4 linked regions of the Arabidopsis thaliana genome follow. The protein of the gene in region 1 interacts with the protein of each later gene in a pairwise test. Each region holds a gene or a part of one and is shown in the gene's direction. Other genes may lie near its edges.

Evidence for each region.
Region 2: the proteins of ATGP4 (region 1) and UBC28 interact in a two-hybrid assay, tested with the Arabidopsis thaliana proteins (one study listed by BioGRID).
Region 3: the proteins of ATGP4 (region 1) and UBC11 interact in a two-hybrid assay, tested with the Arabidopsis thaliana proteins (one study listed by BioGRID).
Region 4: the proteins of ATGP4 (region 1) and UBC10 interact in a two-hybrid assay, tested with the Arabidopsis thaliana proteins (one study listed by BioGRID).

Annotation. Positions count from the first base shown.
Region 1 is NC_003075.7:12,847,472-12,855,370, reverse strand, and holds ATGP4 (Ubiquitin family protein), read left to right. Parts: upstream 1-3,560; 5' UTR 3,561-3,925; exon of another isoform or gene 3,926-4,021; 5' UTR 4,022-4,121; coding exon 4,122-4,251; intron 4,252-4,503; coding exon 4,504-4,674; intron 4,675-5,342; coding exon 5,343-5,398; 3' UTR 5,399-5,720; downstream 5,721-7,899. Other genes in the region: SWEET14 (Nodulin MtN3 family protein), read left to right, coding at 1-107, 475-741; AMY1 (alpha-amylase-like protein), read left to right, coding at 1,546-1,635, 1,714-1,846, 1,918-2,348, 2,573-2,938, 3,011-3,262; UMAMIT16-psi (nodulin MtN21 /EamA-like transporter family protein), read left to right, coding at 6,995-7,110, 7,332-7,448, 7,559-7,790. UniProt on the Arabidopsis thaliana protein: May serve as docking site to facilitate the association of other proteins to the plasma membrane.
Region 2 is NC_003070.9:23,831,036-23,838,918, forward strand, and holds UBC28 (ubiquitin-conjugating enzyme 28), read left to right. Parts: upstream 1-2,515; 5' UTR 2,516-2,636; intron 2,637-2,714; 5' UTR 2,715-2,756; coding exon 2,757-2,826; intron 2,827-3,441; coding exon 3,442-3,567; intron 3,568-3,656; coding exon 3,657-3,784; intron 3,785-3,850; coding exon 3,851-3,955; intron 3,956-4,041; coding exon 4,042-4,185; 3' UTR 4,186-4,501; downstream 4,502-7,883. Other genes in the region: AT1G64210 (Leucine-rich repeat protein kinase family protein), read left to right, coding at 1-1,174, 1,242-1,828; TOM7-2 (translocase of outer membrane 7 kDa subunit 2), read right to left, coding at 2,053-2,286; AT1G64235 (Bifunctional inhibitor/lipid-transfer protein/seed storage 2S albumin superfamily protein), read left to right, coding at 5,214-5,585. UniProt on the Arabidopsis thaliana protein: Accepts the ubiquitin from the E1 complex and catalyzes its covalent attachment to other proteins.
Region 3 is NC_003074.8:2,638,191-2,645,800, forward strand, and holds UBC11 (ubiquitin-conjugating enzyme 11), read left to right. Parts: upstream 1-2,821; 5' UTR 2,822-3,035; exon of another isoform or gene 3,036-3,175; intron 3,176-3,277; 5' UTR 3,278-3,296; coding exon 3,297-3,366; intron 3,367-3,734; coding exon 3,735-3,862; intron 3,863-3,944; coding exon 3,945-4,049; intron 4,050-4,155; coding exon 4,156-4,299; 3' UTR 4,300-4,729; downstream 4,730-7,610. Other genes in the region: AT3G08680 (Leucine-rich repeat protein kinase family protein), read left to right, coding at 401-1,682, 1,760-2,400; UBC12 (ubiquitin-conjugating enzyme 12), read left to right, coding at 5,292-5,361, 5,771-5,901, 5,993-6,097, 6,212-6,355; TH9 (thioredoxin H-type 9), read left to right, coding at 7,400-7,420, 7,532-7,610. UniProt on the Arabidopsis thaliana protein: Accepts the ubiquitin from the E1 complex and catalyzes its covalent attachment to other proteins. Mediates the selective degradation of short-lived and abnormal proteins.
Region 4 is NC_003076.8:21,629,378-21,637,117, reverse strand, and holds UBC10 (ubiquitin-conjugating enzyme 10), read left to right. Parts: upstream 1-2,870; 5' UTR 2,871-3,019; intron 3,020-3,091; exon of another isoform or gene 3,092-3,118; 5' UTR 3,119-3,128; coding exon 3,129-3,198; intron 3,199-3,555; coding exon 3,556-3,683; intron 3,684-3,799; coding exon 3,800-3,904; coding exon of another isoform or gene 3,905-3,931; exon of another isoform or gene 3,932-4,172; coding exon 4,173-4,316; 3' UTR 4,317-4,551; exon of another isoform or gene 4,552-4,670; intron 4,671-5,071; 3' UTR 5,072-5,097; downstream 5,098-7,740. Other genes in the region: AT5G53320 (Leucine-rich repeat protein kinase family protein), read left to right, coding at 40-665; AT5G53310 (myosin heavy chain-like protein), read right to left, coding at 1,024-1,055, 1,145-1,203, 1,708-2,026, 2,239-2,461. UniProt on the Arabidopsis thaliana protein: Accepts the ubiquitin from the E1 complex and catalyzes its covalent attachment to other proteins. Mediates the selective degradation of short-lived and abnormal proteins.

The DNA of each region.
Region 1 (7,899 bases):
GAACAAAGAGTGTGGAGTTTATGCCTTTCTCTCTATCATTGTTTCTTACAATCAGCGCCATTACGTGGCTCTTCTACGGTCTTGCTATTAAAGACTTCTACGTTGCGGTGAGTCTCTCTTTTTTTCTTATATTATATGTGAATCTTTTTCTTTAGTATATGAAAATGGACAGCTCAAACATAGTATCATATATTATTATGTGTGGTTTATGTTAAAGGCAAAAGAGTTTCCACCACCTTTTGTCTCTTTGCCCAAATTCCATCTATTTAAAGACGACGAATGAATGATTTGAGCCGTACGCTACTTTTGCTTTATGCTTACAATCATATATTATATGATCACGTAAAAGAAACCGAGAGTACAATTATATAAAGTTTTTTAGGTTGTCGGCGATTAATAGGATTACTGTTCCCTATCAAAAAATGATTAGTGGGATTGTTACTGATGATGTGATTACTTTTTTATGATTTGAAGCTTCCAAATATATTGGGTGCGTTTCTCGGAGCAGTCCAAATGATTCTATACGTCATATTCAAGTACTACAAAACTCCACTAGTGGTTGATGAGACAGAGAAGCCCAAAACGGTGTCGGATCATTCCATCAACATGGTCAAGCTTTCATCTACTCCGGCTTCTGGTGATCTTACGGTTCAGCCGCAGACTAATCCTGACGTGAGTCATCCTATTAAAACTCATGGTGGTGACTTAGAGGACCAGATGGACAAGAAAATGCCAAACTAAGTCAAGATTTAGTTTTCAATTATGAATTAGTGATTGACTTTAATGTTGAACTGTTGAGTCTGGTTTCCTAATTTGTCTTTTATTTTCTCATCATCTTCTTTCGAAATATCTCGAAATTGTACTATCCTTCAAAAATTTATGTGCGTCGTTTAGAATTTTGTAAAATAGTTTTTGATGCCTCTGTTCTCAGTAATACTTAAAAGTTTATTAGTCCGGCTAATTAAAAAGGAAATGAAAATTCAAAGTAAGTTAGATAAACATGATCATTCACAGGTCAGATGTTTTAAAAAAAAATCATTATGGTGTACATCACATGTAGACAATACTTCAGAATTCATCTGGACTACCAGAATTGAGTTACCTAGTACTTCTCAATTCTATTTTACCCTAACGTCTAATAAATAACAAGTACTCTAGCCTCTTCGTTTTATGATTCCTCTAGGAAAAGTTAATGTTACGGCCCAATCACTTTTTTTAACAGCCCAAACAACATATATTAGCTCCAAATATCATTTTTTCCCCTAGAATATTCTCAACCTATTGTCCACTCAAAACGTGACAAATGGAGGTCTAAAGGGAGACCATACTTGACTCATTTTAGAGCTAGGATCAGACAGAGTAGATTTTTTGCCATAACTCCTTGTAAATGTATTCACATTTCATTCCCAAGAAAAATAGACTGATGAAGAAATATATCAGATATGACAAGGCCGTGTCGTTTAGGTTACGTAACTCTACAAGGTTTAGGGTCTCAATATAAACACACAAAGCAGATAGAAGAAGCAAACCATTCACAATCAGACAATGACATCTCTCCATACGTTACTCTTCTCTTCTCTTCTTTTCTTCATCGTCTTTCCAACCTTCACGTTTTCCTCCACCTTATTGTTTCAGGTTCGTCTTTAGTTTTGCTTCTTTACATACACAGACTCTACACACTCACTTATTGGGTTTCTTTCAATTGTGAAACAGAGTTTCAATTGGGAGTCATGGAAGAAAGAAGGAGGATTCTACAATTCTCTCCACAACTCCATTGACGACATAGCCAACGCTGGAATCACTCATCTTTGGCTTCCTCCTCCTTCTCAATCCGTTGCTCCTGAAGGTTCCATTTCTGCTTTACTCTTTACACATTCACATACCAATCTTGTTACTCACGCAATCTTCATTCCTCAGGTTACTTACCGGGAAAGCTATACGATCTAAACAGCTCCAAATACGGTTCAGAGGCGGAACTGAAATCGTTAATCAAAGCGTTGAATCAAAAAGGAATAAAAGCTTTGGCTGATATAGTGATTAACCACAGAACAGCTGAGAGGAAAGACGATAAATGTGGATACTGTTATTTCGAAGGTGGGACTTCCGATGATCGTCTTGATTGGGATCCTTCCTTTGTCTGCCGCAATGACCCTAAATTTCCCGGTACCGGAAACCTCGACACCGGAGGAGATTTTGATGGAGCGCCCGACATCGACCACCTTAACCCTAGAGTTCAGAAAGAGTTGTCCGAATGGATGAATTGGCTTAAAACTGAAATCGGATTCCATGGTTGGAGATTTGATTATGTTCGAGGTTATGCATCTTCCATCACCAAATTATACGTTCAGGTAAATCACATATGAATTCTCAAATATCAGACAACAGTATTAGTATATAAGAAACATAGGTTGAGATAATTATTTACTATTAGTATATATAAGTATCATAGGTTGATAGGGTTATTTACTACTATTTAGTATATAAGAAACATAAGTCAATGCAATCAATAAGAAATATATAAGAAAGTTCACTACTGATTATGTGATAAATTCCTCTGTTTTTGGATACACAGAATACATCACCGGATTTTGCGGTGGGTGAGAAATGGGACGATATGAAGTACGGAGGAGACGGGAAACTAGACTATGATCAGAACGAGCATCGGTCGGGTCTCAAACAGTGGATCGAGGAAGCGGGTGGTGGTGTGTTGACAGCTTTTGATTTCACCACCAAAGGGATCTTACAGTCTGCTGTCAAAGGTGAGCTTTGGAGACTAAAGGACTCGCAGGGAAAACCGCCTGGTATGATAGGAATCATGCCCGGAAACGCTGTCACATTCATAGATAACCATGATACATTCAGAACGTGGGTTTTCCCTTCTGATAAAGTCTTGCTTGGATACGTTTATATACTTACTCATCCAGGAACTCCTTGCATTGTAAGTATCATTTTAGTATGTAGCTATACTATTTACAACTACAATCTTGTTGATATGTTATTTTTGTTGCAGTTTTATAATCATTACATAGAATGGGGACTAAAAGAGAGCATCTCAAAGCTGGTGGCTATCAGGAACAAAAATGGGATTGGTAGCACAAGCTCTGTAACGATAAAAGCGGCAGAGGCGGATCTCTACTTGGCTATGATTGATGATAAAGTTATCATGAAGATTGGACCAAAGCAAGATGTGGGAACACTTGTTCCTTCTAATTTTGCTTTAGCTTATTCAGGCCTTGACTTTGCTGTCTGGGAGAAGAAGTAACGCATAACTCGAATCATAAGAAAAGTAATCGAATGTATCTTCTTCCTTTTTAATAAAACATTTTGGCAGTATCTAAAGATATGTATAATGAAATATAAAATGATAAAGAATACCTAAATAAAAAGAGCACTAGTGGTGTTAAAGGATACAACTCCAGTGAAAGAAAAGAGTTCAAGTGAAGAAGTGTCAACTTGTAGAAATAAGTATTGGAAAGTTTCCATCGTTTTGTTTTGTTGCATACAACTAATATATTATATATTGGCCGACTCGTATAAGATTTGGAGCCCTACTAAAATCAGAATTATGATGTCTTAACCACACAATACTGCCAAAATCAGAACGAATTATATTATTGTAGAAGAAGAAAAAAAAAGTATGGTGGGAAGTGGGAACAGTTAGACAGGTAAATTCGAATAAAACGACAGCGTTTTTGGCTAGGACAATAAAAGTTGAAGACGTCGGCTTGAGAAGAAGTAGAAGTGACGACGAAAAGAAAGGGGAAAAAAAAAAGGAAGGAAAAAAGTGAAAACCGTCGGCTTGAGAAGGAACTTTGATATTTGGTGACTCTTGAAAAAAGCAAGCTCTTTCTTCTTCCTTCTTTCGCTTTTTTCACACCTCAAAATCAAAGATCCGAAACACGATTTCGGAGGAAGCTTCGATTCTGTGTGTTTGATTCTTCCTCTTTTTTGTTTTTTGTTTTTTTGTTCTATCCCGTTTCGAAGCGAGCTCTGATTCTCGTTCCTGTCTACTTTTTTTCAGACCTATTTTCAGATCTGAAATAGTTGTGTTTGAGAAGCGGGATTGGTGATCGGAGCTGGAATTTGGTTGGTAATCGGAGGTCAGAGAGAAGTCAACGGATATGCCGGAGGAAGAATCGATAGATATCAAATTCAGGTTGTACGATGGCTCCGATATCGGGCCTTTTCGGTATTCTGCGGCTTCTACTGTTGACTTTTTGAAGCAGAGGGTCGTCTCTGATTGGCCCAAAGGTTAGTTTTAAGGTTTTTTGAATCGGTGCCCCTTTTTCCCCAATCTGATCCTGGTTTTATTCATGATCTTCCCACGAATTTCGTGTTGATTGTCACTGAATCCTGCAATTGTCGGTAGAAATTCGAAATTTAGAGCTGTAGATGAATTATTATTAGCTCATTTGAGATGTTATAAGCTTGATGTATGAGAAAAGCCAAGTCTCTGTGATTTGAGGTTGATCCAAGCATCAATTTTTTTGTGGTTTTGGTTAGGCAAAACAGTTGTTCCAAAGGGGATAAACGAAGTGAAGCTGATAAGCTCGGGTAAGATCTTGGAGAACAACAAGACTGTTGGGCAGTGTAAGACACCATTTGGAGATATTGCTGGTGGAGTCATTGTGATGCATGTTGTTGTACAGCCTTCTCTAGCTAAATCCAAAACAGGTAGTTGTTTGTCTATGTGTAATGTTCTTCATGTCTTTTATATCAGAGAATTCCCGTTTCATGGAGATATATGTGTCCTTAGAGGTTCCTCAATCTTTCATTAGTCTTGTGGTATTTATCTTGTCAACTGTATGGATTATGGTATTCATTTATCTGGCTCAACTTTACGTCTTATAATATCTAGCTCTAGTCATACTTATATTAATTGAGGCTGGTAAGATTTCGTAAGAGTGTTCATGCACATCAGAAAGTTAGTCGGTGACTAAGATCAGTACATTCTTTTTCTTTCTAACAGCCTATGGTACTGACTCAATCAACCTATCAGGTGATTAGTGGTTTTGTCTAAATTTGGTTTGTTTGTCTTGAGAGAGAGTAAAGGATACCCTAGAATTCATTCCTAGGTTTCTGGTGTGTTCTTTGTGTGAAATAAAGCAAAAATCAGCTCTAAGCTTAGCAAAGCATGCCATGAGGAAAGGAATACCTGAATTCATTATTGGTCGTCATCTCCTTGTAAACCCCACTGAAAACTTTTGCCAGTCTTTGAGATTTGTCTGCATAATTTGTTTTTTCACAAACTTGAGAAAGTCGTGGAAAGTGAGTTTGTGATTACTAAGACGTTTGTTGATGAAAGCTAACTAACAGTTGAATACTGGTTTTTGATTAAACAGAGAAGAAGGTTGATAAAGCACCAAAGGCAGTAATCTGCACATGCACCATTTTGTGAAGGGAGGAAGACCAATGTATCTATCATACACATCGTTTCAATTCTTCCGGTACAGAAGAAAACAAAATCAAAAAAAGAAAGCTAAAAGTAAAGTAAAGCTTCCCTTTAAGCTGTGGAGTTATTTATCATCTTTGAATGTGTAGAAAATGAACTATAAATTCTTTTCAAGTAACTCTTTGTCCCTTATTTGTTTTTTCTTCTTACTTTCCCAATGTATGGAAGCTGTATAGGTTACTAGGTCCATTACGTTACGTGTGATGAAGATAATTATATATCTATCTATTTTTAAAAAAGATTGTGCCTTTGTATTTTTCGTTCTTCCTTTCACACCGTTTTAGTATAGGTGAATTTGCGAAATGGCCAAATTCTGGCTGGCCCGTAAATGTAATTAATGAATTCATGAACTCTGAACATCACTTCGAACAGAAAATTCATCTCTTTTTGTTTTAGGTTGGGAAAAGGTAAGAGGATGGAGTTGCGGTTCCGATCAGACAGACAGGAAGAGTAGTGATGGATGAAGGCGACGTAGTCTCGAACAGAGGCATGATGTAATAACACATGATATATGACACAAGTCATAACCTAGCTACTTATAAATACCAACATAAACTAAAAAAAGTCATAACAATGGTATGTACTTATCTACATTAAAAAAAAAAAGAATTGCAGAAAGATGGCAATATGAAACTAAATTGAATCAAACACATGTACTACAAACAATAGTTAAAAATATCAAAACACAAGTAAAACAACCTAGTTTTAACATTTAAAACGAGGAGAAAAAAAACCAAAAAAGGGAGCCAAGCTTTATGCGTGGCGCTAAAAAGATTGGGCTGTTGATGGATAAATTATGATAGGGCCCAATGGAAAAAGAGAGCTGTCGGTAAACCCTAGACACGAAAGCCGGTGACGAATCGTCCGGTCAATCTGAGTAGTATAAGCGTATACGACATGTATAAGTAGCTAACTACGGTATTTATACTGTATGAGTTGGTAGTTAAAGAGTCATAATGACGTTAATGTCATATTACCAAAACAAGGAGCTTGGAGATAAACAAGCGTAAAAACCACACACTATAATAGCATTAAAGTAAAAACGAGCTGGAAGCATTTTCTTTAGAATATTTTCTTCCTGCACCTCCTCCTCCATTGACGAACACCACTGAGACCACACTTTTAAATTTTATTTTATTTTTAAAGAAGAAGAAGAAAAAGACGAAGAAGAAGTGCAACCAGGAATTGCAACCAACCTCATCCGATGGATAGATAAATATATTCGTAATCAGATCTGGACAATTCAATCAACCGAGGACAGACGCTACGACAGTCGACAAAGGCTGGTTTGCTTCACGAGACTAAGCTGCTTTCAGTACTCAGTTCCTCAGGTAAAAGCTTTGTGTTCTATTTTTATTTTCCTAGGCAATGGTTTTTAAGTAATTTCTACTAAAAACTTAAGAAAAACGGATCTAAAACGTTTTTTTTTTTTTTTTTGAATATAATTTAACCAAAAAAAAAAGACGTAGAAGAAGAAGAAGCCATGATCATAACATCCTACCAGTAGTTGCGGCTGTTTCAATTCAGATTGGTTTATCCATAATGTCGGTCATTGCAAAGTATGCTCTAGATTACGGGCTTTCTCCGAGAATCTTTGTTGCTGCGCGTCTGGTTATTGCATTTTCAATTCTATCACCCCTTGCTTTAGTATTTGAGAGGTACCAACCATAACTTATTGTATGTTTTCTCTGTTTTTTTTGTTGTTTTGTTTTGTTTCTGGTGCTAATAATAATCTCAAATCTATAGGAATACAAGACCTGACTAAAAGAATCTTTGCTCAGATAGTTATCATGAGCATTTTCGAGTAAGTTACTTATAGTTTGTATGAATCATCACATTCATCAATATATTAGAGGTTTAATCAAATGTTTTCTTACAGGCCACTATTGGAGCAAAACTTGTACTATACAGGCATGCAGCTCACAACGCCCACTTTCACTTCCGGAATGTTCAACCTACTCCCGGCCATTACATTTGTGATGGCCTGTATATTCAGGTAGCCTTCTATTTTCTTTCAAACATTTAGTTCTGTATGAGTAATAATCAAATCAGTATGTGTGTTTTGACTTTAGTTCCAACATGTAATGTCTCGTACCCTTTTGCAAGGTTGGAGAAAGTGGCTATTCACAGTCATCGAGGAAAAGCAAAAGTTCTTGGAACGTGTGTGGCGGTTGCTGGAGCAATGCTGATGACATTTTGGAGAGGCCAGGTGATTCCATTGCCATGGAACAGCTTGCTGCACGCAAAGAAGATCCACAGACATGATGAGGACATCCTAAGAGGAGGGCTTATGCTAGTGTGCAGCTGCTTGAGTTGGAGCTTCTATGTTATTCTTCAGGTAAAAAGCCCAAAGGTCACAATGTTTCTTTACAGAAATTTACTAAGTTGGCTGGCCTTTTAATCTATATGATGTTTCTTGCAGGCCAAGGTAGTAGTGTCGTACCCGG
Region 2 (7,883 bases), on another chromosome or scaffold:
CAAATCTTCTTGTTCTTCTTCTCTTTGATTCTCTGTTTTGTTCTGATTTCCTCTCAGACTCTTGAAGACGACAAGAAAGCTTTGCTTCATTTCTTGTCTAGTTTCAATTCTTCTCGTCTCCATTGGAACCAGAGCTCAGACGTTTGTCATAGCTGGACCGGTGTTACCTGCAACGAAAACGGAGATCGAATTGTATCCGTTAGATTGCCTGCGGTTGGATTCAACGGTTTGATTCCTCCTTTCACCATCAGTCGTCTCTCTTCTCTCAAGTTTCTAAGCCTTAGAAAGAACCATTTCACCGGAGACTTCCCTTCTGATTTCACAAATCTCAAGAGCTTGACTCATCTCTACCTACAACATAACCACCTCTCAGGTCCACTACTAGCTATCTTCTCGGAGTTGAAGAATCTTAAGGTTCTTGATCTGTCTAACAATGGATTCAACGGAAGCATCCCAACCTCTCTTTCAGGATTGACTAGCCTTCAAGTCTTGAATCTTGCAAACAATTCATTCTCAGGGGAAATTCCAAATCTTCATCTTCCAAAACTGAGTCAGATCAACTTGTCCAACAACAAGCTCATCGGTACAATACCAAAGTCTCTTCAAAGATTCCAAAGTTCAGCTTTTTCTGGCAACAACCTTACCGAGAGGAAGAAACAACGCAAGACTCCTTTCGGGTTAAGCCAACTTGCTTTCTTGCTGATTCTGTCTGCAGCTTGCGTTTTGTGTGTTTCCGGATTATCATTCATAATGATCACTTGTTTCGGGAAGACTAGAATCTCCGGGAAGTTGCGAAAGAGAGACTCGTCTTCTCCTCCAGGAAACTGGACATCTAGAGATGATAACACTGAAGAAGGCGGGAAGATCATCTTCTTTGGTGGAAGAAACCACTTATTTGATTTAGATGATTTGCTAAGCTCATCTGCAGAAGTTTTGGGGAAGGGTGCTTTTGGTACAACCTATAAGGTAACAATGGAGGACATGAGCACGGTCGTTGTAAAACGATTGAAGGAAGTTGTCGTTGGAAGACGAGAGTTTGAGCAACAAATGGAGATCATTGGTATGATCAGACATGAAAATGTAGCTGAGCTAAAGGCTTACTACTACTCCAAAGACGATAAGCTCGCGGTTTATAGCTATTACAATCATGGAAGCCTCTTCGAAATACTGCACGGTTAGTTATTTTCATTGCTCTCATTCTGATGATAAATCGAAACTACAAGGTTCCATTTTCTTTGCAGGAAACAGAGGAAGGTATCATCGAGTACCGTTAGATTGGGATGCTAGACTGCGAATAGCAACCGGTGCAGCGAGAGGGCTAGCTAAAATCCACGAAGGGAAGTTCATACATGGAAACATCAAATCCTCAAACATCTTCTTAGACTCACAATGCTATGGCTGCATAGGCGATGTTGGCTTGACGACAATCATGAGATCACTTCCTCAAACCACTTGCCTTACTTCTGGCTACCATGCACCTGAAATAACAGACACAAGAAGAAGCACACAGTTTTCGGATGTATACAGCTTCGGTGTGGTATTACTGGAGCTCTTGACAGGGAAATCACCAGTGAGTCAAGCAGAATTAGTACCAACAGGAGGTGAGAACATGGACTTAGCTAGCTGGATAAGATCTGTGGTGGCTAAAGAGTGGACTGGAGAAGTGTTTGATATGGAGATATTGAGTCAATCAGGTGGTTTCGAGGAGGAGATGGTTGAGATGTTGCAAATAGGATTGGCTTGTGTTGCTCTGAAGCAACAAGAAAGACCTCATATAGCTCAAGTTTTGAAATTGATTGAAGATATTCGATCAGTTGATGCAGAGTGAGACAACACAAACTAGTAGTAGTAACCATTAAAGCAAATTCTTTGTTTCTTCATAGATCATTTGATTTTATTGAATTTGAATCATGCAAAAAAGAATGAGACTTTGAATTATAGAATCAGAAACAAATATAAATCCATTTCATAAAACGAAGAAAACAGAACAAATTTGGGAAAAAAAGTAAAAGCATCTAAGAAGAACATTACGAAGAAGATCCAATTTGTGGATTAAACGGGAGAGAGGAGGTGAAAAAGATGAGGTTTAGGATCTGAGTTCATGCCGATGATGATGATCAGAGGGATGAAACCATAGTGAGTCGCGACTTTGGCTTTCTGTAATGACCAGTTGGTCCAATCCTTGAAGACCTTGTACTTTGATGATGCAGAGGAGGACGAAGATGATGATGATCCCTTTGATGGTTTTGCTTTGCCTTTGATCTTCAACGTACTTTTAGCCGCCATTGATTCTGATCTCAGAACTCTCTCTCTCTCTCTCTGCTTATCTCTGTGTCAGAGTCGATTTAGCTGGAAGACAAAAACCCTAAAGGGTTTAAGCACCTTTTTAAAGCCTCTATGAAACACTCTGTCTAACTCAGAGGGTCCTTTATTTTTTATTAAAAGTATGTTTATCCAATAATGATTCTCTGGCTCGCTGGAAAATAGCTGTCATTATTTATATTTGAAGCATACATAAATAAAATTTCTCTCTCTTTGTTTATTCGTTAGGTCTCAAAGGCTCTCTCTGTCTCTTTCTCAAAAATCATCTGCAGGAAGTGAATCGTCAAAACCGAGTTTGGAGGATCTGTCTTGAGGTAAAAAAGCTCAATCCTTTATCGGAAATTTTCAACCTTTGCTTTTCCTTTGTTTGTTGCGTTGCTGAATCTATCTAGGGTTTGGTTTTTTGGATCTAGGAGTTTTTTTTTGGTTGAGAAATGGCTTCGAAAAGGATCTTGAAAGAGCTCAAGGATCTCCAGAAGGATCCTCCAACTTCCTGCAGTGCTGGTTAGTCTTTACCTCTCCTCTCGTAAATCGTGTCTGATCTATTTTTGAGCTTTGTTGTTAGATCTTATAATCTTATCTTTAAGCAAACAAAAAAATGAAATCTTTTTTAGTCTTCGTAATTTTATAACGAAGTTATCTAGAGATCTTGAGGTGGTAATTGCCGCTAAGTTATGATCTTAGTTTAGAAGATACCAATTGAAAGTTGAGATTTTTCTTAGAACAGAACAAATTTATGGCTGTACTGATCCTTGATTGAAAATTACAGCTTTCTAATAATCATAGTCTAGAAGATAGCTGTTAAAAATTGGGATCCATTTACCCATCCTGGATACTATTGATCATAATTAATAAGATAACAGTTGGAAGTTGAGATTTTTCTTAGAACAAAGTTGAGATTGGTCGTTGCAGTTATCTTATGATCATAGTCTAGGAAATAGCTATTGAAAGTTGTGAATTTTCTTAGAATTAAGCTTTTGGTGTTGTATGCTGCCTTGTTTATCCAAGTATCCATAACGGATCTTACAGACTTGATACCTCGCACTGATAGTCTTTCTTAGTTATCTATTGCATTCAGGTTTATACATGTTTGTTTTGTTTATTAAAATATATGATAAGTGGATAATGCGTCGAAATTGTTGGTCTTAATAGAGTTAGAGGATTGTTGTCGGAGATTCTCAAACTGTTCATGCATTCTTCTGCTAGAGAAGTCTCAGGACATTGCTATGGCACATGTTTTGTTGTGTGTATTTCAGTAAATGCCATAGATCATCATGTTTAAAAGACTAATCTTTCTATTTTTTCCTTCTATGAACAATTGTGAAATCTTCAAGGCCCAGTTGCTGAAGACATGTTTCATTGGCAAGCTACAATAATGGGTCCATCTGATAGTCCTTATTCAGGCGGTGTCTTTCTCGTAACCATTCACTTCCCTCCGGATTATCCTTTCAAACCACCAAAGGTAAATTATTCATTGTTACCAAACTGAAATCATGAACTGGAATTCAAAATGCTCTTTTTCTTGCAGGTTGCATTCAGGACAAAAGTGTTCCACCCTAATGTCAACAGCAATGGAAGCATTTGCCTTGACATTTTGAAAGAACAATGGAGTCCTGCACTCACCATATCGAAGGTGAAAAAGCACTCTTTAACCAATAGCAGTGGATGATATATAATGAATCTCCTCTTATTTTAATCAAATCTCTTGTGAATTTATAGGTTTTGCTTTCGATATGTTCATTGTTAACGGACCCAAACCCAGATGATCCATTGGTTCCAGAGATTGCTCACATGTACAAAACCGATAGAGCAAAGTATGAGTCTACTGCGAGAAGCTGGACTCAGAAATATGCAATGGGATGAAAGTTTGTGTCCTTTGATCCCTCACAGACTCGGTTTTAATAGAGAGAGAGAGAGAAAGAGAGAGGACTTCTTCACATAGGGATCTTCCATGAAATAAGTTAGATTCCTATGTTTTATCATCTCTTTGTTTGAAACCTCTTTAATCTCAAACAAAAACATTACTTCACCTCTTTATTATCCATATGTTCCCTATCTTTGTTTCTATGCTTTTTCCAAAAAATTATAAGAAAAATTATTTATGTAAAGCTGGAAACTTTGAGCTTTTACCTAACAAAGTATGACGATGATTAAATGGGAACATTTGACATTTGCTACCAAATTTTCAAAATTCCGTGTTTGAGAAAATATTGAAATAAAACCATTTTTGCAGAAAAATAAAATAAAAATTGCATGATTTTGAAGATGTTGATTAACATATTAATTCGAAATTTACCCTTGTATGAAATGCAAAGTGATAAATTTACCCTACAGAAAATTTTCTCCACCTTTATCATTTCCCTTGCTTGTAAGGGATCAATGATTCCATATGTGCATTAATTTAAAAATACCTCAAATCAAAGAATAAAGGTACACTTTATCTACCATTGAATTAAGTTACCTCATTATGAAATGGAAAGCGAAATCAAAAGGCATATTATTACGAAACAATAAACTGTAGATTTATTGGTTAGCTAGATCATCCAACTTTTCATTCAATCTGAATTTTCATTTAATTTATGATGATTTGAATGTAAAATCTGTAAATCATGGTGTATTATTATTAACCAATGAAATATTCTAAATACTGAAAATAATTCATGTAGTGATTTAGCCAATCATTTAGGCTATATTTAGTTATTTACATAGCAACTAATTACGTTCATGTTGATTAACAAGGAAAAACGCGTTCATTACGCAATACCATGCAATTGGAATCCTTCATTATCCAAGAAATACCTAAACAAATTCTCATGTTTTGCACAGAAAACAAAAGGAATCCAAAATATTTGCTATAGGTATATCTAAAAGAAACAACTATATATACATGCATGAAGACCGTCGGATTGTTGCTTATTACATTCGTCATTCTCTTGGCATCATTACCGCTTCCAACAAAAGCTATCGGTGCAGGCGGAAGTAGATCCAAGAGGGACAGAGAATCATGTGAAGAAAGTAGGATTCAGACTTGCTTGGACGTTGTTAATAGTGGATTAAAGATATCGACCGAATGTTGTAAATTTTTGAAAGAGCAACAACCATGTCTTTGTGATGTAACTAAAACCAGTAAGATCAAGACCAATGTCCTCAGCTCTCGTCTCAAGTCTTGTGGTATTCATAACCTAAAATGTGGAAATAACAACAATGCGATGCGAACAAGCAACCCCCCAGTACTTCGAGACACCACACCAAAGATACGTTGAGTCTTTGACTCTTTTTTTATATTAACCCTATTATAGATAGTTTACAATTTAGGGAAATTTTCTCCACCTTTCCCATATTCCTTGCTTGTAAGAATCAATGATTTCATATTAAATCATGAACTCTTATAGATACAAAAGTTTGGATTGTCCATGCTAACATTCATAAACGTAATAATATGATAAAAATGTGGGATAAAAAGAACAATGTTTTTACTTTTTACCAAAAAAAAAAAAAAAGAACAATGTTGACTCTCTTAATTTTCATCCCCAGAGTGACTTGTCTCGTTGATAACCGTTGGATCTCCCGTTAGATCATCTCTCTCGTAGTCAAAAGTCAGGCAATTTTATTAGTGGGCTTTCTATTTTCGACCCAACACTTTGATGTTTCCGAACTCTTTATTTCTTATTCTGCAAAGCTGTGCGAGAGTGAGAGTGTAGTTGTCTTCCTCAGTCGTGACGACATCGCCGGGAAATTCCTTAATGCAACTCAAATTACTTCCATTTCTGAAAATCCAAACTTCCTAATACTCCTTTACCTTCTCAGGTATGTAAACATCTATAACTTAGACGACTATACTGTTGTGTTTTGTTTTCTAGGGTTTTTTAAAACAATTTTTTGCTGGATTTATCAGCTCCGGTGCCTTGTTGTTGTTGTTTTAGAGATCAAAATTGATTTTTCATCTTTCGGGGTTCTTTATAATTTTTAGGGTTTGCATGTTAGGGTTTTATCCCCTGAATTTTTTATTTTGCTTTGTATTTAGTTTTTTGTTTGTTTGTAGAATTTGATGTACCATTCCATACATTTTAGGGACTTAGGCCTTTCATGTTGTTGTTTTAGTGATAGGAGGTGGCTGCTGTTTCTTCTTGGGTTGTGCATAACAAGGATTTAGCAATAAAGTTTACATTTTTACTTTGGATTCCTTGCAGGTTTGGTGTGCTCATGGCTGAAATGGAGGTTCCGGTGTTGTGTTACTGGAACGGTCGCATTGAGTATGGTAGCAATGGGGTATATGACAGATCAACTCCTAGAATGATCAAAGTTAAGAGAAAGACTGAGTTAAGCATATTGTTGGATCAGCTGTATCTTCTTACTGGATTAGATGTAAATGATCGGAGATCAAAGGTTAGAATTTTCGGTAGGTTTCCTTCAGCTGTTCAACCGCAATCAATGCTTCATTTTCTACTTTTGCCTGTGGTGAACGACTCTAGTTTGGAGACAATGCTTGAAGTCCCAAGCAAACATCCTTCTATTAAAAATGTAGAACTGTATTTGGAAGTGAAATCTGATGGGGTTGTTGTGTCTGCTGCTCGTTCGCCGTTGTTGGCAAATCCCGGTAGTTCCTTGAAAAGACAGAGGATGGATATACCTGTTAAGTTAGAGAAGGGCAACAGTAACGGGTGGATTGAAGATGAAGAAGATGTCGACATTGGAAACGGTAGAGATGGTGACATGACAGATAAAAATCCAAGTTCAGATGCAGTGGCGCAAGTGGTTAATTTGACACAGGATAACAATATCTCCCTCAAGGATTTGAATCAAGATTCCAGTTCTGGTGTTTCCAAACCGTGTCTTTCTAGTTTGTGGCTTGATGATCATGACTTGCGGGTAGGATTGTGCTTCAAAGATATTGATGGGCTGAAGAAGGCAGTGGACTGGTGTTCCTTTAGAGGGCAGCGAAGTTGCGTAATGCGAGAGGCTGAGAAGGATGAGTATATGTTTGAGTGCGCCAGATGGAAATGCAAGTGGACGCTTGAGGCCGCTAGAATGGAAAAGCACGGACTTATCGAGATAATTAAGTATACTTGTCCACATACTTGTAGTTGTGCCATTGAGCCACAAGATTCCTATATGGAGTTTGAAGCAGATGAGTTTGAACGTGTGATCAGAATACATCCCACACAATCATTTACAGAGCTGAAGAAGTGGTATATAGAAAAAATTGGCTATGAGCTTCAAACTTCGGACGTGCGTATCGCGAAGAATGAAGCTATCAAAAGAGTCTTTGGAGATTGCGATCAGAGTTTTGAAGATTTGCCCAAGTTAATGGCTGCCATTCATTCATCTAATGGACTCCTCGTGGACTGGAAGTATGATCTTTTTCCTAATCCTAAATTTGCATCCTTCCGTGGTGTGTTTTGGGCATTTTCACAGTCTATCGAAGGGTTCCATCACTGTAGACCTCTAATCATAGTGGACACCAAAAATTTGAACTGTAAGTACCAATGGAAGTTGATGATCGCCTCTGCGGTTGATGCAGCAGACAATTTTTTTCTGCTTGCCTTTGCGTTTACTACAGA
Region 3 (7,610 bases), on another chromosome or scaffold:
TTTTTTTTGTGAAGATTTATTATTTGAAGTCAAACAGATTTCAGCTGATTGAATCAATGTGTGCATATAGCTTCCATAATTTCATATTTTGATTTGAGAATCGAGTAATGTTGCTTTGGACTTTATCATCAGCATTCCCACTTTGGTTTGAGAAATTACGCTATTGTATCTTTGTCATTATTAAGGAAGCTTTTCGTTGTGTTGATGATCTTTTTACTCATGATACCTGTGATGTGTAGGTGTCATTCTTGGCTACTTTATCCATAGATACATTTCTCATATTGAGTTTAGCTTTTATGTGGCTATAAATCATTACATGATGTGTTTTGTGTTCTCTTGCAGTTGCTGTTGAATGAGAAAGCTTTGATGTGAGCGAGCCTGAGAGTGTAACAAAGGACTGATGATGAAGATTATTGCGGCGTTTCTCTTCCTCTTGGTCACGACTTTTGTTTCCCGTTGTTTGTCTGCAGACATAGAATCGGACAAGCAAGCACTGCTTGAGTTTGCATCTCTTGTTCCTCACAGTCGCAAACTCAACTGGAACTCCACTATTCCAATCTGTGCCTCTTGGACTGGTATCACCTGCTCCAAGAACAACGCCCGTGTAACCGCACTCCGTTTGCCTGGATCTGGACTTTATGGACCTTTACCAGAGAAAACATTTGAGAAGCTTGATGCCCTCAGGATCATTAGCCTTAGATCCAACCACCTTCAAGGGAACATTCCATCTGTCATTCTTTCACTTCCTTTTATCCGATCACTATACTTTCATGAAAACAACTTTTCTGGTACTATCCCTCCCGTCCTTTCTCATCGCCTCGTTAATCTTGATCTCTCCGCCAACTCGCTCTCGGGAAACATTCCCACGAGTCTACAAAACCTTACCCAGCTCACTGATCTCAGCCTGCAAAACAATTCTCTTAGTGGTCCAATTCCTAACCTCCCTCCTCGCCTTAAATACTTGAATTTGAGCTTCAATAACCTTAACGGGTCAGTTCCATCTTCTGTCAAGTCCTTCCCAGCATCCTCATTTCAAGGTAATAGCCTTCTATGCGGTGCTCCTCTGACTCCATGCCCAGAAAACACCACTGCACCATCTCCTTCACCGACAACACCAACAGAAGGTCCTGGTACAACCAATATAGGTCGTGGTACCGCCAAAAAAGTTCTCTCCACTGGTGCTATTGTGGGCATTGCAGTTGGAGGTTCGGTTCTGTTGTTTATCATTCTTGCCATCATAACCCTTTGCTGTGCCAAGAAAAGAGATGGCGGGCAAGATAGCACCGCAGTGCCAAAAGCTAAACCCGGGAGGAGTGACAACAAGGCTGAGGAGTTTGGGAGTGGGGTGCAAGAGGCGGAGAAGAACAAGCTGGTCTTCTTTGAAGGAAGTTCATATAACTTTGATCTTGAGGACTTGCTCAGAGCCTCGGCTGAAGTTTTAGGGAAAGGAAGCTATGGCACAACGTATAAGGCCATCTTAGAGGAAGGAACCACGGTGGTGGTGAAGAGACTGAAAGAAGTAGCAGCTGGGAAACGGGAGTTCGAGCAGCAGATGGAAGCCGTGGGAAGGATCAGTCCACACGTGAATGTAGCTCCTCTCCGTGCCTATTACTTTTCAAAAGACGAGAAGCTACTCGTGTATGATTACTACCAAGGGGGCAATTTCTCCATGCTGCTTCATGGTAATATGATGTTTTACATGTTACTCAAGGTTATAAAAAGTGGCTTTAAAGTAACACTTTAGATGAATTCTATGCAGGAAACAATGAGGGAGGAAGAGCAGCGTTGGACTGGGAAACAAGGTTAAGGATCTGTTTGGAAGCTGCGAGGGGAATTTCTCACATCCATTCTGCATCTGGTGCTAAACTCCTCCATGGAAACATCAAATCACCAAATGTCCTCTTAACCCAAGAACTTCATGTCTGTGTCTCTGATTTCGGTATAGCTCCATTGATGAGCCATCACACCTTGATCCCATCAAGAAGCTTAGGTTACAGAGCACCCGAGGCCATAGAAACACGGAAACATACCCAGAAGTCCGACGTATACAGCTTTGGTGTACTGTTGCTAGAAATGCTGACTGGGAAAGCAGCAGGGAAGACTACTGGGCATGAAGAAGTGGTGGATCTGCCAAAGTGGGTGCAATCAGTGGTGAGAGAGGAGTGGACTGGAGAAGTGTTTGACGTAGAGCTGATCAAGCAGCAACACAACGTAGAGGAAGAAATGGTGCAGATGTTGCAGATAGCAATGGCATGTGTGTCTAAGCATCCAGATTCTAGGCCTTCAATGGAGGAAGTGGTTAACATGATGGAGGAGATTCGACCTTCAGGGTCCGGTCCTGGTTCTGGTAACAGAGCCTCCTCGCCGGAGATGATCAGAAGCTCTGATAGCCCGGTTTAGATTGGTTTTAAATTCTCTTTCTCTCATTCTCAAATCATTATTTATTTTTGCTTTTCCTTCTTCTTCTTCTTCATAAACCGTTTATTTTAGTTCTCTATGTCTGACTGCATAATTTATTCCAATCAATATCTGGAATTGTAGTGTAATTGAAACCCTCACCATGAATGGTTGTAGTTCTTAGATTGGTTATAAGTGTGCGACTAGTTTTGAATTTTCATTTGTTGTTGTATGATTCGTTTAAATTAAATCACAAGAGTCTTTGGGTGTTTGAAAATCTAACTGAAATAGTGATACAATTATATGTGAAATTTATCGTCTCAAAAAGATAAACTACATGAGTAAATAAATAAAAATAAAATCATTGCTCTGTATTTTTTGACTGCATGAGTCCTAATTGGTGAAATAAAAAAACTTTTGGCACGAGAATTAATAAATATATAGAAAAGGTGAAATAGGTGAGGCGGTACTTGCTGATAGAATCAGAAGCTTCGAGACTGACTTGTTTTAGATTCTCTGACTATAAAGAAAGGCAAAGTAACAAGTTTCGTTTTCTCCTTTGCACTCCATTTTTATTCTCGATTCTCTTCTCTCCCGATAAAGAAGCTCTCGCTTTGTGTTGTCCGTCCTTCTTCCAGGTCTAATTCCACCATTTCTCTTTGGTTAAACCCTAATTTCTTTCTCTCCCGAATCGTCCTCTGTTTTTGTTTTGCGCGATTAGTTTCCACCGCTTAATAATAGGGTTTCCGATCACTTACGTTTTGTGTTGTTTTGTTCGGTCTCTGGTTCTTCCACTGTGATCTGTTTTGTTCTTAAGTTGATTGTCTTAAGTTATATCCTCTGTTCAATAATATTCTGGTCTTGTTGGGGGTTTCCACAGGTTTTCTCGTCTCTGACGCATGGCTTCTAAGAGGATCTTGAAGGAGCTCAAGGATCTGCAGAAGGATCCTCCTTCAAACTGCAGCGCTGGTAATCTCCCTTTTCTAATCTGATTTTAACCAATTACTTACCTGGCACTAATGACTCTGAATTAGGTTCCTTACTCTCTCACTAGATTGATGTAGGTTAGGGTATCAAGTATCATACTTTATTTCCTCAATCCATGTTATGCTTCTGATTTTTTTTTTGGTAAAAGCTTTGGTTTGCTAGACTCTTTGATTAACGCTGATCTCATGGATTTTGTTGTCTGTTATGCACTTCATATTTACCCTTTCCTGTCCTGTATTTGACAAGTATCCAGAACTCTGCATGGTTTTGAGTTTATGTCAAAGTGTCTCCTTTTGTAGCTCCTGCTAATATGTCTTTATTGATGTAATTTTGTTGTCACGTTGTTTTAGGTCCGGTGGCTGAGGACATGTTCCATTGGCAAGCCACTATCATGGGACCTCCTGAAAGTCCGTATGCCGGAGGAGTGTTTTTGGTTTCTATTCATTTCCCTCCGGATTATCCTTTCAAGCCACCAAAGGTAATGTGTTGTGTTATGAGACTCTTTATGATTCATCGGTTTTTATCATTGATCTTATGATGTGAATCCATCGATCTTGCAGGTGTCTTTTAAGACTAAGGTGTACCATCCAAACATCAATAGCAATGGAAGTATTTGCCTTGATATTTTGAAAGAGCAATGGAGCCCTGCTCTTACTATCTCTAAGGTTCGAGTTTGTGTATCTCTACTCCTACCATTTTAACACAAATTATGTTACTATCTTAGCCAATTTTGTGTGTTAACGCGAGCGATATTGATGCTGTGGAAATTAGGTTCTGTTGTCGATTTGCTCGCTGTTGACTGACCCAAACCCAGATGATCCTCTTGTGCCGGAGATAGCTCACATGTACAAGACAGATAGATCCAAGTACGAGTCAACTGCGAGAAGCTGGACACAAAAGTACGCAATGGGTTGATGATATAAGACAAAGCAAAGGATATGTTATTGCGCATCGGAATAAAATAATAACTTAAAAAAAATGCACTTGTTTGGTTTATCAAACGTTAGCAAGTATCGAACAACTTAGCTGCTCTTACTCCTCTTCTGTTCTGATCACTATAAACTAGTATTAATTTCGATTGTTGGGTCTACTTTTATTCTCTTGTTTCCCTCTCCTCACTTGGTTGCAGGAAACTGCAATTCTAATCGCCCCAAACGCAATGTTTGGACTGTTTTGGTACACTCTTGACATAAGGGGTTCCAATCTACACATGGATCAACCACAACCAAAACCAAACCAACTATGAGCCTTCCATAGTTAGGATTATACATTGCTCCCAAATACAAAACTCGTTCCTAATCTTCTATTAACTTATACCAAAGTTGGTATATTTATGATTAAATTATTGATTTTCTTAATTTTTTTAATATATTTCAAAAGTGTACATGGTTCTAATAAAACACTTAAGAAATTTTCCATATTGTTTACAATAGCTGTTTTAGGAAATATCATATCTATAGACCAAACCAAGAATATCTTTAGACCAAACCAAGAATAGGTGTTTTAGAAAATAAACATATCTTTGGTTGCAATTTTCCAATATCATCCGCCATGGGTCCCTACTAATAGGTCAGGCGGTACTTGCCGACAGAATCAGAAGCCTCGAGACTGACTTGTATTCTCCGACTATAAAAAAGAAGTAGAGGGTTTTAGGCTTTTCACGAATCTCTTCTCTCTTTTGTAGTGGCCTTGAAAAAAAGATTCAATCTCCTGTTGTGGTATGTTTCTTTTGATCCATCTTTCCTTTATGTTTTCTGTTTCAACTACTTCTTAGGGTTTATCATCACTTACGTTACGTATGTATTGTTTTATTCGTCTTCCTCTATGATATGTTATGTTCTTAGTTGAATTCCTTAATACTCATTGTGTGTTGCTTATCTCGTCCGCAGGTTTTCGAGTCTAAAAGCATGGCTTCTAAGAGGATTTCAAGGGAACTGAGGGATATGCAGAGACATCCTCCAGCAAACTGTAGCGCAGGTAATCTCCCTTTTCTTGGCTGATTTTGACTGATAGATTCACACTAAAAACACTTTTAGGGTTTGATATATGTCACACTTTTATTTCATCAATCCACATTATATGTTTCTGAGTTTTTTTTGGTAACGCTATGATTTGTTAGACTCTCTTTGGTTCTGTTATATATATGTACTCTGCATGAACCTTTTTTTTTTTTTTTTTTGTATTCGAGAAAACTCGTTAAACCTTTGCCTGGTACGATTAAGAATATCCAGAGGTTTAGCTTGCTTTTATTTCAAGTGTCTCCTTTTGTACTTCTTATTTATTCTGCCAATTTGTCTCTGTTCTATAAGAAGTATCACTTGATCATGCAGGTTTTATTGTCTTTTTCGATGAATAAATGGGTCTGATTGCAACGTCTTTCTTATAGGTCCTGTGGCTGAGGAGGACATATTCCATTGGCAAGCAACTATCATGGGACCGCATGACAGTCCGTATTCCGGAGGCGTATTTACGGTTTCTATTGATTTCTCTTCGGATTATCCTTTCAAGCCACCAAAGGTGTTGTGTTTTTTCAACACTAATTTAATCATCTGATGTGTAATGAAAATCTATGATCATCAGGCTTATTAGCGAGTGTACGATTTTGCAGGTGAATTTCAAGACTAAGGTGTACCACCCAAACATCGACAGCAAAGGAAGCATTTGCCTTGACATATTGAAAGAGCAATGGAGTCCTGCTCCTACCACATCCAAGGTTTGAGTTTTGTCTCTCTACTACTATTTTTTACCAAAGTCATGTTCTGTAAAAAAAAAACTAGTATATTGGTGAACTTTGTGCGAGTGATATTGATGGTGTGGAATTATATAGGTTTTGTTGTCGATTTGCTCGCTGCTGACTGACCCGAACCCAAATGATCCTCTTGTGCCGGAGATAGCTCATCTCTACAAGGTAGATAAATCAAAATACGAGTCAACTGCACAAAAATGGACACAGAAGTACGCGATGGGATGATAAGACAAAGGTGGTCTAGACAAGGAAAGGATGTCTTACTTGGCAATGGAAATAGAAAACTGAAGAAAAAACATTTACCTTTTCTGTTTTTTGGTTAGTTTTAGCAATGGCTGCTATGATGTGACGATCATAATCGAAAGACTTTTTTAGCTGCTCTTTTTTACTTGTCTTCAGTGCTCTGATCATATTCTTATTTTTCCAATTCCATTTTAATTGGAAACTGCTATTGCAACAACCTCGTAAATTTTTTTCTTTTTTAAACTATAGAATCGTTTTAAGTCTTTACCTAAATCAATAATCTTTAATCCTCTTTAGTATTTTTTTTTTGAGCATCAACTAAACACTATGGCAAAGTCTTCAACCGTATATAATAAAGTCAATTCTTTAATAAACAATGGTACTGCAGAATTTGAGTTGCCGACAGAAAAAAAAAAGTACCGCAAATCTAAAGAATCTGTTGAAAGTACGGTTAATAATAAACAAAACAGATTTTTTATTATTTACACGAATTGATAGCTAATAAAGAGTGAGAAAAAAAACAAAAAAAAAGTGGAATGGACAGAGAGGAGGAGGGTAGAGTGGTAAATTTAGTAAGAAGGGGAAATTGGGTCTGACGCGGTCATAATGGGAGGGAGCTTCTTCTCCAATCAACGATTCTTCTAATTTGGTCTCTTCCCTCAAACACGACGACGGCGTTTTCTTTCATTTCTTCTCTCGACAATCCCTAACATCACCAGAAGAACACAAACACAATTCTTTTTAGGTACAACACAAATTCTCTTCTTCCTTCTTCGCTCTAAAATTTTCAACACATATTTTTTATGATGCTTTTAAGCGTCTGATCGTATCCGATCTCTCTTAAAGGTCCGTTTTTGCCTTTTCAGATTCTCTTAATCCGTTTCTTCTTCTCAATTTTCGTTTGTTCGTTATTAATCCTTTTCGCAATTCGATTAGCTGAAAGTTTCCCCCTTTTTTCTCCAGGGAATTGCAAAAAAAAAATCGATTTTCTATTTTCAGGCAAATTCGAATTTCCAGGACATTCAAATGGGTAGCTGCGTCTCTAAGGTATTGAAAGAAACGAAACCCTTTTGTTTGGTTTTTGGTTTTTGTCGGATTCTGTATTTGTTGGTTATGCGATGATAATGTAAAAAAATCCCTTCTTGTTTTGCTACATAGGGTAAAGGAGACGATGATTCCGTCCATAACGTCGAGTTTTCCGGTGGCAATGTTCATCTGATTACAACAAAAGAGAGTT
Region 4 (7,740 bases), on another chromosome or scaffold:
TACATAGCTAAGTTGGTCTATATGTGTATCGATACTCAGGTCAGAAAGGTCTCAGGGATCGGAAGCGTCTAGAATGGGAAACTAGACTGAATATGGTGTATGGAACAGCAAGAGGAGTAGCTCATATCCACTCACAAAGCGGAGGTAAACTAGTCCACGGGAACATAAAATCCTCAAACATTTTCCTCAACGGGAAAGGATATGGCTGCATATCTGGAACAGGAATGGCTACACTGATGCATTCATTACCGCGGCATGCAGTTGGCTATCGTGCACCAGAGATAACAGACACAAGAAAAGGGACTCAACCGTCTGATGTGTATAGTTTCGGGATATTGATATTCGAGGTACTAACAGGAAAATCAGAAGTGGCAAACCTGGTGAGGTGGGTGAACTCGGTGGTTAGAGAAGAATGGACAGGAGAGGTGTTTGATGAGGAGCTTTTGAGGTGTACCCAAGTAGAGGAAGAGATGGTGGAGATGCTTCAGGTTGGTATGGTTTGCACAGCGAGATTACCAGAGAAGAGACCAAACATGATTGAGGTAGTGAGAATGGTGGAAGAGATAAGACCAGAGAAACTAGCCAGCGGATACAGATCAGAGGTTTCCACAGGTGCGACAACAACTCCGATTGGAAGTCTATCAGGATCTCCGTATATACTATAAGAAAGACTATTCCATCTTTCCTTAATGTATTGACCATTCAGAAAAAGATTTCAATATTTCTACAGACGATTATCGTGATTGCCATTTGAGAACCGTTTCCAACAAAACTAGAATCTGTCTTCTAACAATATTTGAAATATACTTGTAACCATTTGTTTCTTATATTGACACTACTGGTCTTGTGTTACATGAAAGAATCCATTCACATTTTCGAAAGTCGAAACAGAATATAATAAACAACACATACCACCATGATTTCAGCTATTAGTAACCAACAGAAAAGACATTCGAAAGTCGAAACAGATCTTACTAGTGGTCCCTCCAAAGTTTATGAACAGCGAGGAAAGTTGAGATGTAGTCACTTCCACACAAATTTGGTCTTGATACCCCCTGAAAAATAGTGGTAGAGCTTGATGAGCAAATAAACTAACCACAAACTTAGATTGAATCACAATATCCAGAATCTTATTCATACAAACCTTCAGATTCCTCAAAAGAAACTTCCTTTACTAATGAGGCAGATGCATTGTACTCAAATCTGGAATGAACACAAGGAGAAACCATTATCAGTATAAAACACAAACTGCACATATAAACCAATAGCTGAGTTTTACGATATGGGAGATATACAAAATGTTTCTACGGACTATTATCGTGATTGCCATTTGAGAACAGTTTCAATCAAAACTAGAATATGTCATCTAACAGTATTTAAAATATAGTTGTAACCATTTGTATCTCAACGTACTAATTTCAGTAGTTATCTCCTAAAAGTGTTAATTCTTTATCTTCTTCCATAAATATAGATATGATTAATAGGTACAAGTGGATCCTCTGGTCTCACCACTAACTAATAGCCAAGTCACTTAAGAAACAGAGCTCACTAAGTTTCAGAGACTAAAAAGACCCACATCAGTTCTCAGTAACACAATACCTGTAGTGTCAATATCAGGAAATGAGATGAAAATAAACAATTCTCATGTGCATGGTATTAGCATTCAAAGAGGAGACATCAAAAACCAAAAATTGCGGTCATAGTTACCTGTTAGAGAGAAGCACTTCAAGTTCATAGTCAGAAGCACTTTTAGTGACATCTACCATGACCTGAACAAGCTCAGTCTTCCTAGTGCTGGCCATGAAGAGATCATATTCCGTGGGAATAATGATAGCGAAGAAGTTATCACTCAATTTGCTTAAACACATCTTCTCTACTGATGACAAAGCAATTCTCCTGGTCATAGCTTCAGTCTCGGGATCAATTAGATAGATCGCAAAATCAGTGAGGATAAAAATACGCCGTTTCATCTTCCCCGAGCCGGTGAACTTCAAAACTTTATCAGCAAAAAGAATCGATGTATCACCTATAACAACAATGAATCACCTTCTCAACATCAAACACATGCAATTCAAGGTGAATCCAATCATTAGCAATCCAAACAACCACATAAGAAACTATAAATCGATGCCACAATTCTACAGCTGATTCAACTATTCCTCCAAGTTCTTCGATTCACAAATTGCCTCTCAATCTCAAATTCATCAAATAAAAACCAAAAGTTTGGAGAAACCTAACCTTGTTTCTCCAGAATTCGCATCAATCCAGGACGAGAAGAAACGTGAAGATAGTCACCACGATGCTCTCTATAGCGAGACGCTTTCCTTCTGACTTTACCTCCAGCGAATGGCGTGTGATCTCCTCCGTCTACCTCACCCACACTTCGATCTTCATCAAAATCAGGTGGAGGTGATTCTTCGCCGTCGAACTTCGGCCCCTTTTGCTCCTTCAACCGGTTCATTCCTCCCGGCGACGAACTCGAAATCGGAATCGGTTAGCTTATTCTCAGATTCTGCGTTAGAAAAATCTCCAAAGTGAGAGAGAAGACGTGGCTTCAAATGATTCGATCGATTAAAAGATACAAATCTCAGCCGTTAGATTATATGACTTCATCGCAACGCGTTTCGATGCCACTTGATTTGAAATTTATAATAAACTCGCAGCCGTTAGATTTCAATACCACTTGATTTAAGGATAGGATATCAACCGTTAGATTAGATGACTTTTTAAGACGATGTCGTTTCAATGCAACTTGATGTTTTAATTAAGAAGCGCCGCGTCGTTTCAAGGTCCACCGAATAATAAGAGGGTTAAAAGTAGAGTCCACTAGTCAAAGAAAGTAAATAATCCACACGGTATTTATTGTAGACGTGAGCACAGAGAATAATTCGTATTCTTCGTCTTTCGTCCACCACCATCTCTATTTTCTTCCTTTCCCCTAAGTCTTGGTTCTTCTTCTCTCTAATACGAGAAGAAAAAGGCGAAAACCTCGCCAATCCGATTACGCGAAAAATCAAAGGTATTGTCTCTGTAGCTTTTGGATCTATTACTTATATTTCTCACGGATTTATAGCTTCTCTGATTCGTTTAGAATCTTTGTTTGATTTTTGATTTTTAGGTTTTTGGATATGGCGTCGAAGCGGATCTTGAAGGAATTGAAGGATCTCCAGAAGGATCCACCTACATCATGTAGCGCAGGTACTTGTTTCGTGTTTGGATTTTGAGATTTCATCTTAAAAAGTTTTGTTTCCCTGAGCTGGTGTTGATAGATCCGGTTTTTTTGTTCGCTTATGCTTGGATTTGTTTGGATTTGTGTGTTTATGTGTTGTTTGGTACCGATCTCGAGCTAAGTACTCGTTTTACTTTTTAAGATCTGGCTAGAACTAAATTTGGTTTATCTCGTTTCTGATTTCTCTGGTGAAGATCTTATAAAGGCTTAAAACTCGTTTCATTGTCTTAGTTTCTGGGGTCTGGTTATACTTGTGAAGAAAAAACTGTCTCTTTGTTTCCTTGTGCTTATGTGGTGTGAGATTGAGTTTATCTTTCTGTGTACAGGTCCTGTTGCTGAAGACATGTTTCACTGGCAGGCAACGATAATGGGTCCTTCAGAGAGTCCTTATGCTGGAGGTGTTTTCCTTGTAACCATCCATTTCCCTCCGGATTACCCATTCAAGCCTCCTAAGGTGATTCCAATATTTTGAGAATTGTTATCAAGTATGTTTTGCCAAAGCTCGTATGTTCTTTATGGTTGCTTCATTATCTCATTGTTCTTCATTATGGTGTGTGTGATGATATCTAGGTGGCCTTTAGGACCAAGGTGTTCCATCCCAACATTAACAGCAACGGTAGCATTTGCCTCGACATCTTGAAGGAGCAGTGGAGTCCTGCGCTCACCATTTCCAAGGTTCGGTTTCTCTTATTCTTTTGTTAACAATAGAAACCCACCTTAAAACAAATACTCTCTATTAAAACTGCTTCAGAGGCAGTAATCTACTCTTATCAAACATGCTTTTGCTCCTTAATCCCTAGTTGAAGTGATAAGATTGAGCTGTCTTCATTAAACTTTGACTCATTTCGGTTGTCTCTGAAACATTAAGCTTATTAGACTCATTGAGGATGAAAAATTGTTGTTTGTTATCGATCAGTTCTAACAACTGCTTTGCAATTAACAGGTGCTGCTATCGATCTGTTCTTTGTTAACCGATCCAAACCCGGATGATCCTTTGGTGCCCGAGATAGCTCACATGTACAAGACTGACAAGAACAAGTACGAGTCCACTGCACGAAGCTGGACTCAGAAGTATGCCATGGGCTAAATGGAAAATCCCACCTACTAAATTATCTCTTTATGAAGAAAAAAATCTGCCTTAATTTCTATGTATGATTCGATAGACATCTCTTTGTGTCCTTTTAACTTTCTGAAGACAGGACCAAATGAAGTGGGTCTTGTTTTAAACGAAACAAAAAAAAACATCATCTTTGTGAAAACTAGAATCTGATCATCTTCTGTTGTTTCTTCTTGTGGTGAAATTATGATTTGATGTTTTCGTTGTGTGATGAGTTGCTACGAGTTGTTCAAATTTATCAAACTAGTCTTCAAACTTATCCAACTGGTCTTCAAACTTATCCAACTGGTCTTCAAATTTACTCTGAGTTAATCGTTGTGGCCAATGCCCGTCATGGTGACAATGCGTTCTGTTGTAGCACGTATGTTGTAGAAAATGAGTTTTGTACCTTGCAAGGTGCGCCTGTGGATTGTGGACTACATACGTGATGCAACAAACATTTTAAGTATGCAATAATATCACAAACAATCCTATATCCATTAAACGACATGTATTATGCATGTTTGAACTCAAGTAGTAACTCAGCAATGATTCACTAGTACAAAACCACTAAACACCCTATTTTGTTTATAAGTTATAACAGTTTTCTTATTCGTATCATCCATCATATCATGAGTTTGACGAAAACATGTTATTTGGTGAAGTCAAATTATTTGACAATACAGTATTTAATAAAATAATAAATAGCCTGATTATGTGGAATGTGAGTGGTATAGAATCAACAGAAAAAAAAAAAAGAGTGGTATAGAATCTAATACTACAGATAATCTATAGATGAATGGGTATGGACTGAACTCAAGTTATGTAGATGGGCTTCGATGGACCAAAGATCCATCGCTCGTCCGAGCTTAAAGTATCACCCCTAACAAATTATCTTTACAAGTCCACAGGTAAGAGAAAAATACATTTAATAGTGTTGTGCTATTAGAATATTTTTGAATTTCTCTTCTCTATAAGAAAATACAGTATGTTACTATCTTTTTTTCAAAATTTATCATTATCCCACGGATCAGTGTATTAGAAGAGTATCAGTTTGAACTTAGAAATGATAACCAACAGGCAAAACTTACTCTAGTTAAGAGCAAAAGACCAAATTAAACATCTGCTTTAAGTTTAACAAAATAAGAAATCATAGGGACTATAGGTTTGATTTAGATATCCATGAAACTTGTAGGCTAAGAACTCTAGACATTCAAACGCAAAATTCAAACAATTGGTGTCGACTGAAAGAAATAAAATAAAAATCAGTGTTCCATGTTTTTTGGTTTAGTTAAGATAGGTGTTCCATATTCCAAAATGTTAAAATACTTTAATAATTGTAACAATGCACGGTTAAAGAGACAATACAACCAATTAACTATTCGACGTCAAAAATGTCGGCTGCATTAATTTCCCTATTCGGTTTCTCCTTCCCTAAACTAGTAAGCAGTAAGACATTCAATTCTCCTTTAACAAAACCAAATTTAATTATAATGTTAATGTATTATGTTCTATTATAGGATTAGATATTTGGAGGGTTCATCTTACTATTTAATTGTAAATTCGTTTTGTAAAATTTCATTTTATATAATGTTGTTTTTAACTATTTTACAGTTTGTAATTTTTTTTATTAGTGAAATAAACTAAATTATATATTAAATGATATGTTCATAGAAAACAAATATATATATCTCCACAATTTAGCAAAACATTTTACAATCGAAATATTTGTTTCTCATTGATTCGTCATTGTGTAAGTCAGTAATAAACAAAATTATAAGGAGTATGTTTTGTTAAAAAAAATTTAGAATAGCTTTTCCTAGGAGTTATAAGAAACTAATAACCGATTATTCTTTGAACTACTTAATTTCTCTTTTATTTCCTATGTCTCCTCTTTATGTTTTAGAGAACACCGGGATGTGAAATTGACAGTGGTGAACATCGATGATGTTTAAACGACAATAGGATTCTTTTGATTTTGAAGTTGTAGATTAAAATTTTGTAACTAAATTTATAATATTTGACAAATTTTGTAACAAATTTCTAAAGTTCTTGTAAGCTTTGTAATTTGCTTGTTTTTTTCTTTTTGTTATTGTAAGCTTTTGAATTTATAAAAGTTTTGTGATTTGCTTGTTTGTAAAAACTTGTGATTTTACGTTATTTTCTTGAAACACCAATACGAGATTTGGGCTTACCGAGGCTTCTTTCGAGGTCTGTTCGGTTATTCCTAATGGTTTTATTGTTTCCACTACTCAAGCACTATCTCAAAACATTAATATAAAACAATCGAAACTACTTCAATTTCCATTTTAACCTTGATTTTTAATTTTTCTTGCTAAGTATAGTTGACGTATGATGGACCACTAGCAGCCACATGGAAATAGCAGAACCACACAGGGTCTTTCTTTCCCTCGGGGTTTCATTGCAGTTGCATTGAATAATTTTGTCTTATACTTAATAATTCTTCATTTGCCACTAGTTAATAACTATTAACTAATACCTATGTTGCACTATTATAAAATAATACTCACCATTCCGTTTTCAGTTTCGCGCAATATCACTTAACAGAAATAAAACAACTTGTTAATATCTCGTACTCATATATTGATTGTTATAGAATGAGAAAAAACATCTTGTACTGTTCAATTCCCACTAGTGATTAGTTTTGTACGAGTAAAGTTTTTAAATTTGTAAATGATGACTTTAATATTAATTTTCTACCCACACCGTAAATTTTCTTTTTGTACCGAAATACGGAAAATAATTTTAAAATTAACTAAAAATCAGCTTTTAAGAAAAAGGCAAAAAAAAAAAACGAGTCTCTTACACGACCACTTCGAAGATGTCTTCCTTTCGATAAATTACGTTTTCTAAAGAATCTAACCATTAGTCTTTTACTATACTATATAACAATCGAATTTTGTTTATGATTATTTAATTTTTCTGAACATGCAAAACCTCTTATTTGAAAGTTGAAATCATAGAAAGTAACATATAAGAATTCAACTACACGTGTCAGTGATTAGACTAATGATAAATCTACCTCCAAAGTCTCCATAACTTGGATAATTATACATTTTTTTAGGGTAAGAGAGATAGGTCGTGCCCAGAAGAGCATGGTCCTGAAAACCAGGTTTTCTTAAAATAATCAAGTTAAAAATTAGGTTTAATCATAATTAATTCTGAAAGAAAGAACATAACAGCCTGAGATTTAGACAGTCTTCTCACACTAATCTCCCTTTTTGTTTCTAGTGAAACACAGAATCGTAAGCTTGGTGGTGTCCACTAATTAATGGCATTTATGACGGTTAACTAATGTTAATTATTGCATTAGTTAAGTTACTAGTTGAAGGTTAATGTCGAAGCAAAAGAACCGTTAGCTTGTTTCAGAGAAAAAAGAGCTATTTAAAAACTA